Notamacropus eugenii: one gene and its partner. The protein of the gene in region 2 purifies or fractionates together with the protein of the main gene of each other region. This does not show direct contact. Links are inferred from orthologs where the notes say so. Each region holds a gene or a part of one and is shown on either strand. Other genes may lie near its edges.

Region 1 (7,982 bases), on a different chromosome or scaffold from region 2:
CTGAGAAAATAATAATACATATTATTATACATAATACATATGTATTATATGTAATACATATTATACATAATACATACACAATATAACATAATACATGTTAAATAAATTATAAAGATATAAAGTGCTACATAAAGTCTGAGGTGGAAGACTTTTAGAGATAATCTTTGAATTCAAAGTTATAGTCTGGTGGAGGAGACAGTACACATTAAAAAGATAACAAAAGTGGTATTGAATGCCAAATGAATGGGTTAAACAATAAGTAATATAGGAGCTCAAGGAAAAAATGAGAGAAAATTCAAAAATTTGAACCAAAAATGTAACAGTTGAGAACATAACTATTACAACAAAAAAACTTTAAGTTATGGAATCATATCTTGATACCCTCACACAGATACCAAGCAAAATTTTACTACTGTTTATGTATACCCTACTCTAGGGATAAACACCGTCCATGAATAATACTCTTGCTGAAGTGCCTGGAATGATTTTCACATGCTGTCAAATTTATGCCTTAATAATAGCATTTGTGATTACTAAGGCATAGCAAAACCATAGCTCAACTTTCACTCTCACCCTGTTTTCCCTCACTCATAACTGTTCCAGATTATTTAATTCCTGAAATTTTCCACATTTGTCTCCAACTAATAAATGACTAGAGGAAAGTTTAAAAATAAAATCTTTAGCCTACTTTAAAACCAAAACACGTAACTGCCTTTCACTAAAAACAAATTATTGTTAAGCTCTTGGTTAAAATAACTTTGTGCCAATTTTAACTTGCATTCAGGATTAAAAATTTCTATTGTATTTTTTCCTATTTTTCAACCAAAAAAAAAATTCAAAGTCCTGAAAAGTGAATGAGGCACATTGCTCATTATAACCTCTACCTGCCTTCTCTTTCCCGTAAACTATAAACTCATACTAAATTTAAGATCACAAACTTCTTTTAGCAATTGTTTTTTTCTAAGAGAAGAAATGTATGACCATGTGGTCTTGCAAACATCAAAGCTAAATATATCATCAAAGTATAGTGTAACAGAGCACTAGTATCAGGAAACTAGGTCCTAAGTCTTGGCTTTCCTACTTAATAATTGTGAAACCCTGGCCAAAACATTTAAGCTCTTTGGGCCTAAGTTTCTTCTTCTAAGAAATAAAGGCTGACCAGATGATTTATATCTCTAAAAAAATAGAGTTTAATCAAAATAAAATGAGAGAATTGGACTCTGATCTTTTTTAAGATCTCTCCCAGTTCTCTGATTCTATGACTGGGTTTTAAGGACTATCATAGTCCTCCTTAAGTACTCTAAAGACCTAAAATTATTTTGGGAAATGTACATATCTAGAAGCTATGATTTAGACAGAAATTCTCAATCTTCTCAATTTACTTCATGGGGAAAACTTTGTTAGATTTTTTTTTTCCCCAAGTAAGCCTTCAAAAAACAATAAAAATAAACAAAACCCTTGAAAGTCTGAGAAAGTACTGTAAGAACATCAGGTAGTCCGAACTTCCTACTAAAATCAAAGGGGCTTGTAAAAGTTTGGGAAAAGAGCTCCATTGGTAAAACAAAGAAGCAAAACCAACACGGATATTCATAGGATTTAATAACTCCTATTTACACAGTGCTTTGAGATTTACAAAATGCTCTTTTCAGGACAACTCTGTGAGGTGGTTGGAATAAATATTATTATCCCCTTTTTACAAATGAGAAAACTAAGGAGCAGAAAGGGGAACTGACCGGACCACAGTCACACTGCTATTAAGTATTAGAGTCAGAATTCTAAATCCTGGATCCAAACGCAGGCATTCTAACTGCAAATTCAGAGTTCTTATAATTACACTGTACCATACCTCTCTGAGCTGAAAGAAACCTTGAAGATCATCTAGTCTAACTCCCTACTTTTATTTAACGTTATTTTTACTAAGTTTTATCGATGCTTTTGTTTTAATGATACATTCTCTTTGGAGAACCGCCCCTCCCGTTAACCCCTCCTCCCTTCGAGACCAAAAAAAAAAAAAAAAGTTAAGTGAAAACCACTGATAGTAACCTCAACTGACAAATGCATTCAACATGCTCCCTCCCTCTGCCAAGGGGAGGACAGCCAACTCCCCGTCCTCCTCCAGTTCTCCCCGTGCCAAGAGGAAGGCAACTTCCTCATTGTAAAAAGAAAGAAACAAGGAGTCCAGGAACGTGACTTGCCCAAAGTCATGGTGTAGCAAAACAGGGTTTCTCCTGAAATCTACCCTAACTCTAACTACAGTGTTTTTGCTAACCAGATTAAGTTCGAGGCTTTTTTTCAGATCTAATGAGTATTTTGATTTTTTTAAAAATGAAGGGCCAGGTGCTTGAAAACATCGGTGATGGCGATGGGGGGAGGGGCGTGGTGCAAACACGAACAGTCTTGGAATCTCCCCATCATTGACAGAAAACAGCTTCCTGCCTCTTTCTATTCTGGAAAATGGAGTTCCCTCCCCCACCCCCAAGCCGCAGCGGCTGCACGAATACACCAGAGCTCGAACACGGCGCACGGACCACGAAGGGGAGGCCCGATGGGCCCGGCCCGACCCCCAAGGGCCCACAGCCCCAGAGAGCGCGGAGAAGGCCCGACCCTCGTACGGGCTTCCACAGGCCCCCTTCCCTCCGTCATGCCAGGCGTCTTTCTCGACTTCCTCGCTCAGGGGTCCCTCAGACTCTCTAAGAATGATTCTTCCCATTCAAGACCCTCTTTTACCTTCTTCAACTCCAGGTCCACGGGGGCAGCCATCTTGGCGCGAACTCTGCGACTGCGCACTGAGCGGCCGGAAGCAAAGTCGGCCCCCGGAGGAACGAGTGGAACGGAAGCAGTCGCTTACCCTTTGCGCCTGCGCGGGACAGAATGGAGGGTTGGGTGCTGCTTGTCCTCGGCTTCCTGGTGTGGGGACTGTCTGCCTTTTTGTCCGTTCGTTCCACTTTCATCTTTTAAGCACCACTTTGGTTCTCTGCAGTAACTCCAAAAATAAACAGGCCTTTTCGTCAAGCGACTTGGAGTTTAGAAGGGGAGCTAAAACAAGTTCACGAATACTACTATTCAGAAGCCACCTGTGGTGGGAAGAAAGCACGTGGTCTGTGACTATGACCTCAGTGCACCAACTGGTTCATCTCTCCTCTCAGGGACTCAGTTTCCTAATCTGTAAAACAAAGAGTTGGACCTGATGGCCTAGTGTTATAAGAGCCATAGCAGTTCTAGAATTCTATTACAGATTATAATCTATTCTATTATAGATTATAATATTTTATTATAGATTATATATTCTGTTATAGATTATTATGTATTGTTATAGATTATGATATATTCTATTGTAGATTTTAATATGTCCTATTATCCTATGAGGAAATATGCTTAGCAATTTCAACTGTTCCATGTTTCTAAACCTCATCTTGGAAGCATGTGATAGAAAGCTCACTGGACTTGGAAATCAGGAGAGAGCTGGGTTTGACGTCCTTCAGACATTTAGGAAAGAAAGATTTCTTCATTTCCTTGAGCCTAACTTTCCTTATCTGTTAAATGGTAATAAATAATGATATCTGTAGAACCTTAACCTCACAAGCCTACTGCAGGACTCAAATGAAGTTATATCCAGTGCTTTGAAGTTCATTGCCATTTTTTTTTTAAAAAGCAGCAGGACGTGTACAAATAAAAGTTACCACTGTGTGGCTGAACATCATAATTTCAGAAATATCAAAGTTGTAGATAACTCAAAAGGCAACATGAAGACTTGTATCATAAATTGAGTAAACTGTATCATATTACTAGCAATGACTTTTATGTGAGAACCATAAAATATATCATTAAAGATTTGAATGACCTGAAAAGGAGGTGACCTGGCCATCCATGTAGCCAGAGGGAAGGAGATAACCAATAATAATAAAAAGTCAACTAACTAGAGCCCTGACCTGGCATTCCTTCGTGGAAGATTTGTCTTACCAACAAGGATTGTACAAGACGAGAAGATGTAAAGGGGTTGCAATCTCCTCAGGTTGTACCAACACCAGGAAAGTAAGAATAATGTAAGTTGTGCAAAGTGTTATGAGATCCCTAAGACACCAGAGAGGCTTAGTCAGGTTCTAAAGATACGTTAGAGCTTTTATGTTCATTAGGATCTGGGCAGGCACCACACATACCCAGTTCTCTATAAGTCATAACACCACTGATTCGAGTTGGTATGACAGCAGCACTTTAACAACTAATTCTGTCAGAGTCCCCACTAAGGTAGCTACAGGACTTCCATACCAACTAGTAGACTACTCCATTTTCCCTACCAGTACATTTCCCTAGTTGAGCTAACCTAGCTTGGCCAGAATGAATGGCTATCTGTATATGCTAGGAGTTGAATTCATTGATGTGACATAGGAGACAGGTTAAAATGTTAGGCCTGGAGTCAGAAAGATCTGGATTCAAATTCTACCTGTGACACATACTATCTGTTATCATTTAGTCTCTTAATGCTCCCAGGCAGCTCTGTAACACTGTTGTCTTCATGTTGCCTCTCCCATTAGATTGTGAGCTCCTTGAGACTAATGACTATTTTTTTTTTTGCCTTTCCCCAGTGCTTAGTATAGTCCCTGTCATATTGTGGGAAAATACTTATTGAAAGACTGAGTATAAGGTACAGAGAATTTATTCATCAGCAATAAGCTCAATTGGAGGAAATATTCACACTGGGAATTCCCTACATCAATTTAATCACAGGTAGGCCCAGAGCAACTATTCAGAGTCAGGTATGTCTATATGTCTGTTGTCTATGGACTAGCCTTGCTGAATCCAGAGATGATCCTCATCAGATTGGTGAAGACTTTTTCAAACACAACTTTCAAAATCCATTGATTAAGTTACAGAGGGTTTGGGAATCTGCTTAAATAGAGAGAGCATACCCACCAATGAAATATAGATATATTTCAAAATATAGGATATAGAACCTTGAAATACCAAAGAAAAATTTATTTGCTCTTCCTTGCCATGTTTAACTTAGAAGTTTATGGAGATCCTATTACCTTATTCATGGAAAGGGACCCTAATATCTAACTGAGGAAACTGAGGAACTGGTCTGGAAAATATTAGACTAGAATTGGAGCTTTTAAATCCATTGGGACATCAGGTTAATCAAATGTGATAACATGTAAAGTGGTTTGTAACATTGAAGCACCATATCCCTTACTCTCTTATCCTATAACCAATTTTTCCTGTTAAACCTCAGCTGTGGATTACTCCTACCATGCACAGCTCCTATTCATGTGCTGCCAAATGAAGATGGAAAAAAATCACAAAACTATGCTGACTGGATCCACTAACAAATTTTTGCTGACCAGATCCACTAACAAATTTATGTTACATAAGTTCAACTGAGCCCTTCCTATAGCAAAGCAATCTCCCTAATTGACTCACTATCCAACTTACTGCAGTAGCTTTTCCAAACCTTTCCATCGCTCCTCAAATTTTCCATGACTCTCCCATGCCCCACCCTCTCAACTAAGAAACTTGCCTGATATTTCACTGAAATGTTAAGGCAATTCACCAACAGTTCCCTCTTCTCCCCTTCTCTTCATCTTACATCTTTCAGATGCCTTCTTCCACTATCTCTTCCTTCACCCTTGTATCACAAGAAGAAGTAGACTTTCTCCTTCACAAGTGACCCCATTCCAAGCTATCTTCTCAAGCACATTGCCTCCTCTATTATCCCCACTCTCTCATTTATCTTCAGTCTTCCATGTACACTGGATGCTTCCCTATTACAAAGAATCATACTCATGTCTCTTCCATCCTAAAAACGAAACAACAAACCCTCATTTAATTCATCCACCTCCCCCCGCACCCTGCCCCCCTCAGCCATCATCCTATATCTCTCCTTCCTTTTTTGGCTAAACTCCTTGAGAAGACCATCTACAACAGATGCCTCCACTTCCTTTCCTCTCATTCTCTTTTTAACTTTCTACAGTTTGACTTTAATCTCATTATTCAACTGAAACTGCTTTCTATAAAGTTGCCAGTAATCTCTTAATTGTCAAATGTAATGGCCTTTTCTCAATCCTCATCCTTCTAGACTTTTCTCCAGCCTTTGACACTGTTGATCGATCTCTTCTTAATATTATTTTCTAAGTTTTCATGACACTTCTCTCCTGGTTCACCTCCTACCTCTTTGACCACTCCTAAGTCTCTTTTATGGGATCTTATTCAGGTAATGCTTCATAAACATGAGTGTCCCACAGACTTGGTGCTTCTCTTCTTCCTCTACACTATTTCACTTGGAAATCTCATTGGTTCCCATGGATTCAATTATCATCTCTATGCTGATGATTCTCATATCAACTTATCCCACCCTAACCTCTCCGCTAACCTCCAGTATTACATCTCCAACTGCCTGTTAGACATCTCAAGCTGCACAGACATCTTCAACTCGATGTATACAATATCGAACTTATTATCCACCATCAAATTCTTCCATCTTTCTAACTTCTCTGTTACTATTGAGAGTGCCACAATCCTCCCAGTGACCAGGCTCACAATCTCAGTGTTATCAACATTTCATTCTCTCTAGCCCCATCATATTCAATCTATTACCAAATCCTGCTGATTTTAGCTCTATAACATGTCTTGCATTCACCCCCTTCTCTCTTATAACACTACTACAACATTGGCACAAACTCCAGGGGGAAGCTAGATGGCAAAGTGGCTAGAACACTGGTCCTGGAGTCAGGAAGACTCATCTTCCTGAGTTCAAATCTGACTTCAAACTACTTGTGCCAGTGTGATCTTAGGCAAGTCACTTAACACTGATTGCCTCTAAAAGAAAACAGAACAAACCCCAGACCCTGATCATCTCATGCCTGAATTATTACAACAACCTTCTGATTGGTCTCCCTACCTCAAGTCTCTTCCAACTCTAGTCCATTCTCCACTCAACTGTCAATGTGATCTTCCTAAAGAGCAAGTCGGACCATGTGATGCTACCCTTTAATAAATTCCATTGACTGGAAAGGAAGAGGGGAGAGATAAGAGGGAAAAAGTGAACCTTATTCTCATCACATTTGGCTTAAGGAGGGAATAACATGCACACTCAATTTGCTATGAAAATCTATCTTATACTACAGGAAAGCAGAGGAGAAGAGGATTGTGTGTGTTCATCCTTCGTTACTGAAGAAGACCATGCCATCAGAGAAATGATGACATGACTTGCACTTGACTTTTTTTGAGTGAGGGAGAGCTGTACAGGTCACCAGCCTCATATCTCCTCTAGAGCCATCTGAATAGAGTGACCAGATATTCATCAGGATGACTGGAGATGACCCAGAATGAGGCAATGGGGTTAAGTGACTTGCCCAAGGTCACACAGCTAGTCAGTGTCAAGCATCTGAGGTGAGATTTGACCTCAGGTCCTCCTGACTCCTGCACTGGTGCTCTATCTGCTGTGCCACCTAGCCACTCCTGGAGAAGAGGATAAAGGGGGAGGGGATGATAGAAGGGAGGGCAAATGGGAGGAGGGGGTAATTAGAAGTAAACACTTTTGAGGAGGGACAAGGTCAAAAGAGAGAATAGAATGAATGGGGGGCAGGATAGGATGGAGGGAAATACAGTTAGCCTTTTATAACATGACTTTTATGGAAGTCTTTTGCATAACTACACATGTATAGCCTATATTGAATTGCTTGCTTTCTCAGTGGGGATGGGTGGGGAGGGAGGGAGGGAGAGAAGTTGGACCTCAGAGTTTTAAAAACAAATGTTAAAAATTGATTTTACATGCAACTGGGAAATAAGATATACAGGCAATGGGGTATAGAAATCTATCTTGCCCTACAAGAAAATAGAGAGGATGGGGATAAGATAAAGGAAGGGTATGATAGAAGGGAGGACAAATTGGGGGAAGGGGTAATCAGAATGCATGCTGTCTTGGGGTGGGCAGAGGGGAAAGATGAGGAGAAAATTTGGAACTCAAAATCTTGTGGAAATAAATG
Region 2 (7,986 bases):
TTCTCATTCTGCCAGTACCTCACAGTAACTCCCTGGGTCTCTGCTTCTTCCTATGTAAAACAGGGGTGGGGAATGAGTAGAGCAGATGACACCAAAGGTCTGTCTCAGTTCTGGCATCTTGTGAATCTCCTCTAGGAATCCTGAAAGAGGCAATTTTTTCCTTTGTTGTATATAGTAAAATGACCAGCAGGGGATGCTGGACCCTAAGAAACCACCATCATTTTTTTCTCAACCAGCCAACTACATAGTCAAAGAAGTAGGAGAACCATGTCCAAAGAATGAAAAGCAGCAGGTGGTCAGGGCTTCAGACACTGCTGAGCTAGCAAAGGAATGTGCCTGACAAAAGGCGGAAAGGCCAGATGGGTGAGGGACGTGAGCCAGTAAGTGCTATTAAATTGTTCATTGAATTGATGTATACACTAAGGTAGGAAACTACCCTGCAGAGGAAAAGACCTCAGGACTGGTCGGTAACAACAGGGCCATATTCAAATTTCTGGTATCTCATTGACATGCTTTATAACTTAATGTGGAGGAAAAATTATAATAATAATGCCTCACAACCCTTCTAAGAGATAAGCAGGGTTTATTCTCCCTATTTACTTGCAGATAAAGAAACTGAGGGCTGGGTCAGCAAAGTGACCTAACAACATCACCTTGGCTAAATGACGACAGTGAGGATTAGAACCCATGTCTCCTGTCTCTCACTTAACCCAGGCCTCTTTTCACCAATTGGAACAGATGTGTAGGATTTGTATGGATAGAATTCATCTGCAAAGGTCTGAGGGATTAGGAAGGCATTTTTCAGGACAGGATCTGACAGAAGAGAGGTGTCTCATTTGGGGTAGGGACAGGGATCATCTGGAGCCAGCTCAAACCTCCTTGGAAGAAATGATTGTTAAAATTTCAGTGTAAGCATTTGAATCTTGAAAGTCTATAAATCAGTCTTTCACTTTATTGCTTCATGGATTGTTTAAAGTCTAGATCTAGTCTAGCCCTGAGTCCAGTCTCTAGACTTAGGGAAGTGATAGAGAAGTATTAATAGTTCAGTGCATTTGCACTTAATAACTATGGCTATAGCCAATAGTTTGGTACATTTTCAGAGTTGTTTGCTAGCAGGTGTCTGGATAGAAGGGTGAACTTACAGAATACAAGCTCTATGTTTTTATTCAAGTTAAGTTGGTGTTAACCCATCTGACTTGGTATCTGGAAGTCAGTATCTAATGTCCAGATGGACAAGGTAGGGAGCTGCAGAGGAGAGGGGTGTGAGGATTTGTCTGGGGGGTGGGAGGGAAGAAAAAAGGAATCATAGTTTATATTTCCATAGGATTAAAAAATTTTCCATAAAGCTTGCCGCTTTTATCTCCTCTGACCCTGCTGTTACTCTAGAACAGACCTTCATTATTTCATACCCAATAGATTCCTGGTAGGATTACCTTCCTATTCCAATCCTTCCTCCATTCAGCCACCAAAGGGATTCTCCTAAAGAATTCCTTATTCACTCCCTTACACAATAAACTTCAGTGGCTCCCTATGGCCTCCAGGATCAAATACAAAATCCTGTGTTTCAAAGACCTTCATAACTAGCTCCTTCATACCTTTCCAGTCTTACTTACTTACTTTCCAGTCTTACTTGTATGTGTTCGTCCTTCATTGCCAAAGAAGACCATGCCATCAGAGAAATAATGACATCACTTGCACTTGACTTTGTTTTGAGTGAGGGAGGGCTGTGCAGGTCACCAGCCTCACTTCTCCTCCAGAGCCATCTGAATCCAGTGATTCATCAGGATGACTAGAGATGACCCAGGATGAGGCCCTTGCCCAAGGTCACACAGCTAGCGATTGTCAAGTGTCTGAGGTGAGATTTGAACTCAGGTCTTCCTGACTCCAGCACTGGTGCTCTATCCACTGCACCACCTTGCTGCCCCTCCAGTTTTACTTAAACCTTCCTTCTAATACACACTCTTCTCTCCAGTGACACTGGTCTGGCTATTCCACAAATAAGACAATCTCTCTACTCTAGGCTTTCTCTCCAGCTATCTCCTATGCCTGAAAGGCTCAAAACTCCTTAACCTCTGGCTTCCCTGGCTTCTTTCAAGTTCCAAGGAAAATCTCACCTTCTACAGGTAGCCTTTCCCATTGCCTCCTGATTCTAGTGCCCTCCCCCTATTAATTATTTCCCATTTATCTTGTGTATAGCTTGCTTCTATATGGGTTTTTTTGCATGTTATTTCCCCTTTAGATTATAAACTCCTTGAGAGCAGGGAGTACCTTTTGCACCCCCAGTACTTAGCATAGTACCTGGCACATAGTAGGTGTTTAATAAACGTTTATTGATTAATTGTTTAACTTGCTTCACAACAACATTGTGAGATAGGTATTATTATCTCCATATTACAGAAAGAGAAACTGAGACCTAGGGTCTAAAAAGTTAGTGATAGTATCCATGCTGAAGCCCAGATGTCCTGGCTCCAGCCCTGTGCTTTTTTTTAAATCTAATTTTTTAATTATTCTGAACTTGACAAACACCAACCAACAACATGTCTGTATACGATATAGCAGAGAAGATGATTGTATTTGAGACTGTGTATCTCTATTACATAGTTGCACCTTTAAGTATACAATAAATTGAACACTGTGTTTCAAAGCTATCCTGTTTGTATCTTCTTCTGAACTTTCTCTGTTCTCTCCTCTGGGTATTTTTTGAATGTTTCAGTGGTACTACCTTCTTTCTTTGAGATCAAATCCTACTTGGCTTTTAAACCCTCAAAACCTTCCTACTTTTCAAATCTTCTTACACCCTACTCCACTCCAACTGCCCCACTGTCCTTGACAGTCCTATGACACTGGTCCCCTTTATGATCCTCCACAGCGAGGCGGGGCTCTCAGGGGAGCATTAGGAAACGCAAACTTATAAATACTTTCTAGGTGCTTTACAAGCACTCTCTCATTCCAGCAACTCTGGGAGTGGACAGATAGAAGTCCAAATGACTTGTCCATAGTCACACACCTAGTAAGCATCTGAAGTCACGCTCGAACTCAGAATTTCCTGACTACGTGCCCAGCACCCTTTCCTCTGATCCGTCTAGCAGTTTCCCATCTCTCAACTCTATTTTCAGTGGCCTGGAATTCTCTCCCTCTTCATCACTGTCTCCAGGCTCCCCAGCTTCCTTGAAGTCTCAACTCAAATCTTTCTTCAAGAGGCCCAAGATGCTGACTCTACTCCAGACACCTGGCATTTTGTTGGTTCAGTGAACACCCATGCCTGGAATCTGGTCTCTCTTCATTTCCCCCACCTGGCTTCCCAGCTCTATCAGAGGCCTGCCCTGATCCCCCTTAGCATTAGTACCCTCTCTGGTGATTATTTATTCTGTATATATTTATTTTGTATGTATCAATTTATTCTATATATCTGTGTGTATATACATATATATGTGTGTGTATGTATGTGTGTATATTTGTTTGCACATAGTTGTTTTCATGTCATCTCCTCAATTAGGCTGTGAGCCCCTTGAGAGCCTTTCTTTGTGTCCCCATCACTTAGTCATTCCTGGCCCATTATAGGAGCTTAATAAACACTTGTTAACTCTTGGCATCACTATCAATTGCCCCTTCCTCCCTCTCCCCTCTTCCCCCCCATATTTTTAAACCCTCCCTTGCAACATATAATCCCAGCCAAGCAAAACAAATCCCCACACATTGGCCATGTCTGGAAATGTCCTTCTCATTCTGTACCTCTAGTCCATTGCCCTCTGGGCCAGGGTCTAGGAAGCATGCTTCATCACAGTCCTCTGGAGCTCAGGTCTATGAACATTACTATGTTCATAGGTCTTAAGTCCCAGATCACTTCCCATCACACCCCTTTTTCCCCCAAGAAAAGGAAGTTAGAAAGCGTGGCTTGGAGTAATAATGGGAAAGAACTCAGAAGGAAGGGAGGTTAGGCCTCGGAGTGGGGAGGGAGAACCAAGGGGAGCATGGTCAGCATTCCTCATTAGGACTATGACTCAAGCTCTAGGCATGTCAAGGGGTGGGACAGGGAGGTTAGATACCAGAACTGGGCTATTAGCCCGCTGGCAGAAAGAGTAGTGAGGACTTCACAGGCAAAAGTGGAGTCTAGTTGGACCCTGGAGTGCCCTATTTCTAATACACTCCAAAATACCTGTCCTGACTGGGGGCTGGGGTGGGAAAACTAATTGTCACCTCCTCTAAGACTGATCAGAGAGCTCCCAAGGATCTCAAAGCACTAAAGCCCACATCCCTGATGGAAGTATCCTTTTTTTTCCCTTCTAGAGTTCTTTATTATCTTCTATTTGCCCGTAGGAAGGCTTCTCATCCCCTACCCCCTCCTGCTTTTGGTATGTCCCTGTTTTCCTTCTATTCTCCTCCTCTAATATTTTCTCTAGACTAACCCTACACTCCACCCCAAGGCACATGCCTCCCTGTCTTCCCAATACCTATTTCCCTCTGACTCAATCTCCCCATTTACACCCCCTGATTGACATCTTTCCTCTAGGGGTTGAGAGTAGTTGCTAACCAAAGAAAGGAAAGTCTCACAAAGAAAGGATAGACCTCTAGACAGCTCTCATCTGCTCCCACCTATACTACTTACCAGTAGCCTCCTATTGGGAACTGATTTGCTCTTGTAACTACCTTGTTTAAATTTTCTCAGAAGTGCTAAGAAGTCTGTGGAGGCAGGTTTCTTGTGTCCCAGAGATAATCTGGATGTTTCTCTCCCCCCTCCCCCACAAAATAAAAGCACCTGTATGCTTCTCCCCATCTCCAAAGCTGGCCAGTGTCCACAGGGTTGCTGGCCCAGGCAGGCCTGGGGCAGCTGGGCTAGGAGGAGCCCCTCCCTCCCATTGGTCTGACACCGAGCCAAAGAGAAACTGATCTTCTGGTGGGGGCAGGGAGCCAGAGAGCTGGGGCCCAGAATAGTCTCTGCCACAGCTTTAGTCAGCACGACACTGGCTGGATGCAGCCTGAGCAGAAACACACCCTACACTGGGTACAGGGGCCCCAGGGAGGGAATAGAGGGAATCTGAAGGGACAGAGGGTGGGAGCCAGCTGCAGTCCCTCAGACTCGAGCAGCTGAGGCTTGGGTTGCCATCCTCTCTTAGCCTTTCACCTTGCCTTCTTCTCACAGCCTTCATCTTGAAACAACCATGTGGGACATGATGGAACAACCAGGTGGGTAGGAGCTACTTGGCCCCACATTCACTTCCCACATCCCTCCTCTTCCCCTGCCTGAAATTCCTCTATCCCTGTTACCTTATCCCTATATCCCACTATCTTTCCTTGCTCTCCCTTTCACTGTCTCCTCTTTTTCCTCTTTATTCCATTGTTACCTCCTCTTTTTCCTTCTCTTCCTTCCATCTTGTCTCTTTTTCACTCATCTCCTCTCCCTCTCACTAGCTCTCTCTTTCTCTGCTACCCAAGTTCTATTTCCTCATACAGAAGTGAGCTACTCAGGGGACAGCCCTTCAAGGCCATTTCCTTGCATGAATACCAGCCCAGGGAAGAGCTATGATGACCAGGGAGCCAAGGCCTCCCAGTGGATAAGGCAAGAGGCTGTGGAAGAAGGAGACTCCCCTATCCTGGAGGAAGGAGACAGCCCCCAGGGTGAGGAATGGGCCTATTGGGGAGAGAGAGGAAGAACAGTTGCAGTTTAGAGTGCCTCTGATTTCCTGTAGATGCAGACACTAGAACCTTGTCATGATCTCAATGCTTTAGTTTAATCTTCTGAGATGGCTCCTGGCTCTGTGGAGGTCAGAAGACCTGAGTTTTAGCCTCAGTTCTTCTGCAAGCTTGCTGTATGACCTTGGGCAAATCTCTTCATATCTCCAAACCTCAATTTCCTCAACAACTTAGCAACTTAGTTTTCTCATCTGTAAGATGGAAACAATAATACCCAATGCTTCATGGGATTGCTGAGGGGACAAAATAAGAAAGCTACTGGTAAAGTAGAAAGCATTGGATAAATGTAAAATGTTATCATCATCTTCCTAGCAGGTGTCCTGGCAAGGCCTGAGTCTGTGTCTACCTCCTCAGAAGATGTATCCCAGAGCCAAGCTGCCACATTCTCAGGATCCGATTCCATTAGCTGGGGCTTGGAAGCCATAGGCTTGGACTCCACACCCATGTGTCCAGGGCTCACATCTATATGTCCAGGGCTCACATCAGGGGCCATATCCCTGGATCCAGAGACTTTATCAGTGGGACAGGAAGGGGAGATTCCAGGGAGAGTGACCAGAAGTCCATCACCACAGATCCTCCTGCCCAAACTGGGCTGGGACGAAGAACTGCTCCACCCAGAAGCCCAGATCTACATGCACTTCATGCAAGAACATAGCTGCTATGATGCCATGGCTACCAGCTCAAAGCTGGTCATCTTTGATACCATGCTAGAGGTAAGGGTCTTCCTGTGCTCCCTGAAGCTCCAAACCTACACTCAAAGGTCTTTCTAGATCTCCCTGGGACCCTATAGCCCCAAAGCCATAATCAAACAAAAGCATCCCTACATCTCCAGACCCCCTGAATGCGTCAGACACCCGTCTCACTTTGGTTCATAGGTGCTTCCCTGCATAGCCTCACCAAATTCCCTTGGTTCCTCCCTTCTAACTCCCTCCCTTCCCTTTTCTACTATAACCTTCTAAATCAAGGGTGGGGAACTTATGACCTTCTAGGTCCTTGAGTGCAATCTTTTGACCAAGTCCGAGGATTTGTTCTGTAAAACTTGGATCCTGTCAAAGGGCTTTACTGGAGGACCTAGAGGGCCACCTGTAGCCTCAAGGCCACAGGTTCCCCACTCCTGGTCTAAACTTTCCCTCGACTTTATGTATTATTCCTTCCTCCACAATACATACTCACCCCAACTTCCCCAGTGGTTATAAGTACAAATGGAGAAATGGAGGGGGAGATGAAAGTTGGCTACATGAGTAGTTGTAAAAGTACAGGAAGGACCTTGCAAAAAAATACTTAAATTCAACAAGGGTGTATTAAGTACCTACTATGTGCAAGGCTCTGTTCTCAAGGAGCATGAGACCAGCACAAAGAGAAGTTCTGAGCTATGCTAGGTGAATTTGAGTAGGAGTCCCCTGGGACCTGAGTCAGGAAGGAAGGAAGAGGTCTTGTAAGAACAGTGAGTCATTAATAGATGGAGGTCATTCCCAAGCATGGGCAAGATAGTAAGCAGAAGCACACAGGAGCCGGTCAAGAATGTGGAAGAGTCATGTAGTTTGCCCAGGGCAGACTCTACAAAAGAGAATAGGGTGATAAGACTGTTAGGACTTATGGGTTAAAGGCCTCAAATGAATGTCAAGATCCTTGACCTGTAGATGGAGCAGTAAGATTAATGTTCGAGATGATAGGATCTATCCAAGCAACAACATCATTTCTTCCTCTTTCTTCCCAGATCAAGAAGGCCTTCTTTGCTCTTGTGGCTAATGGGGTACGGGCAGCCCCTTTGTGGGACAGCCAGAAGCAGAGTTTTGTGGGTAAGTAAAAGTCTGTGAATGGGAAGGGAAAGGTCTTGGTGAAGATATGTAGGGGAGCACCTACTGGCCAAGGTGGGCAGACATCAGGAGCATTCAGGGGTCTCTTCAGTGGAGCTCTGAGGCTCAAGTCTTAGCTATGTCATTTAATACTTGGGCCATGTTGACAAGTCACATATCTCTGGGCCTCGGTTTCCTCATTTACAAAATGAAGGGGTTGGAATGAATGATCTCCAAGGTCCCTTCCCACTCCAAATCCTATAATCCTTTGATGGCCTACATAGCATAGAGACCATGGCTAGATAACAGCTCAACAACCTAACTCTCCAACCCTGGGCTACGCTGAAGGCAGACCCCTACCATTCAGTTCTTCTCCCAGGCAGAGAAGGAAAGGGAGGAGAAGAAAAAGAAAAGAAGAGTAGAAGAGAAGAGAAAGAGAAAGAGGAGAAAAGGGAAGAGAGAGGAGACCTCAGGGTAGGAAGTGCTGTGAGGCTGATAG

Evidence for each region. Proteins that work in one complex are often made in the same cells at the same time.
Region 1: the proteins of PRKAG3 (region 2) and PFDN1 purify together in Homo sapiens (affinity purification with mass spectrometry; 3 studies listed by BioGRID and IntAct, counting the BioPlex papers as one, with this or other methods). This does not show direct contact. The link is inferred for Notamacropus eugenii from reciprocal best matches to the Homo sapiens genes PRKAG3 and PFDN1.

What each region holds. Positions count from the first base shown.
Region 1 is NC_092872.1:367,773,303-367,781,284, forward strand, and holds the start of PFDN1 (prefoldin subunit 1), read right to left. Parts: upstream 3,102-7,982; 5' UTR 2,761-3,101; coding exon 2,728-2,760; intron 1-2,727. UniProt on the Homo sapiens protein: Binds specifically to cytosolic chaperonin (c-CPN) and transfers target proteins to it. Binds to nascent polypeptide chain and promotes folding in an environment in which there are many competing pathways for nonnative proteins.
Region 2 is NC_092877.1:317,288,322-317,296,307, reverse strand, and holds the start of PRKAG3 (5'-AMP-activated protein kinase subunit gamma-3), read left to right. Parts: upstream 1-4,980; 5' UTR 4,981-5,159; coding exon 5,160-5,184; intron 5,185-5,451; coding exon 5,452-5,616; intron 5,617-6,003; coding exon 6,004-6,404; intron 6,405-7,408; coding exon 7,409-7,490; intron 7,491-7,986. UniProt on the Homo sapiens protein: AMP/ATP-binding subunit of AMP-activated protein kinase (AMPK), an energy sensor protein kinase that plays a key role in regulating cellular energy metabolism.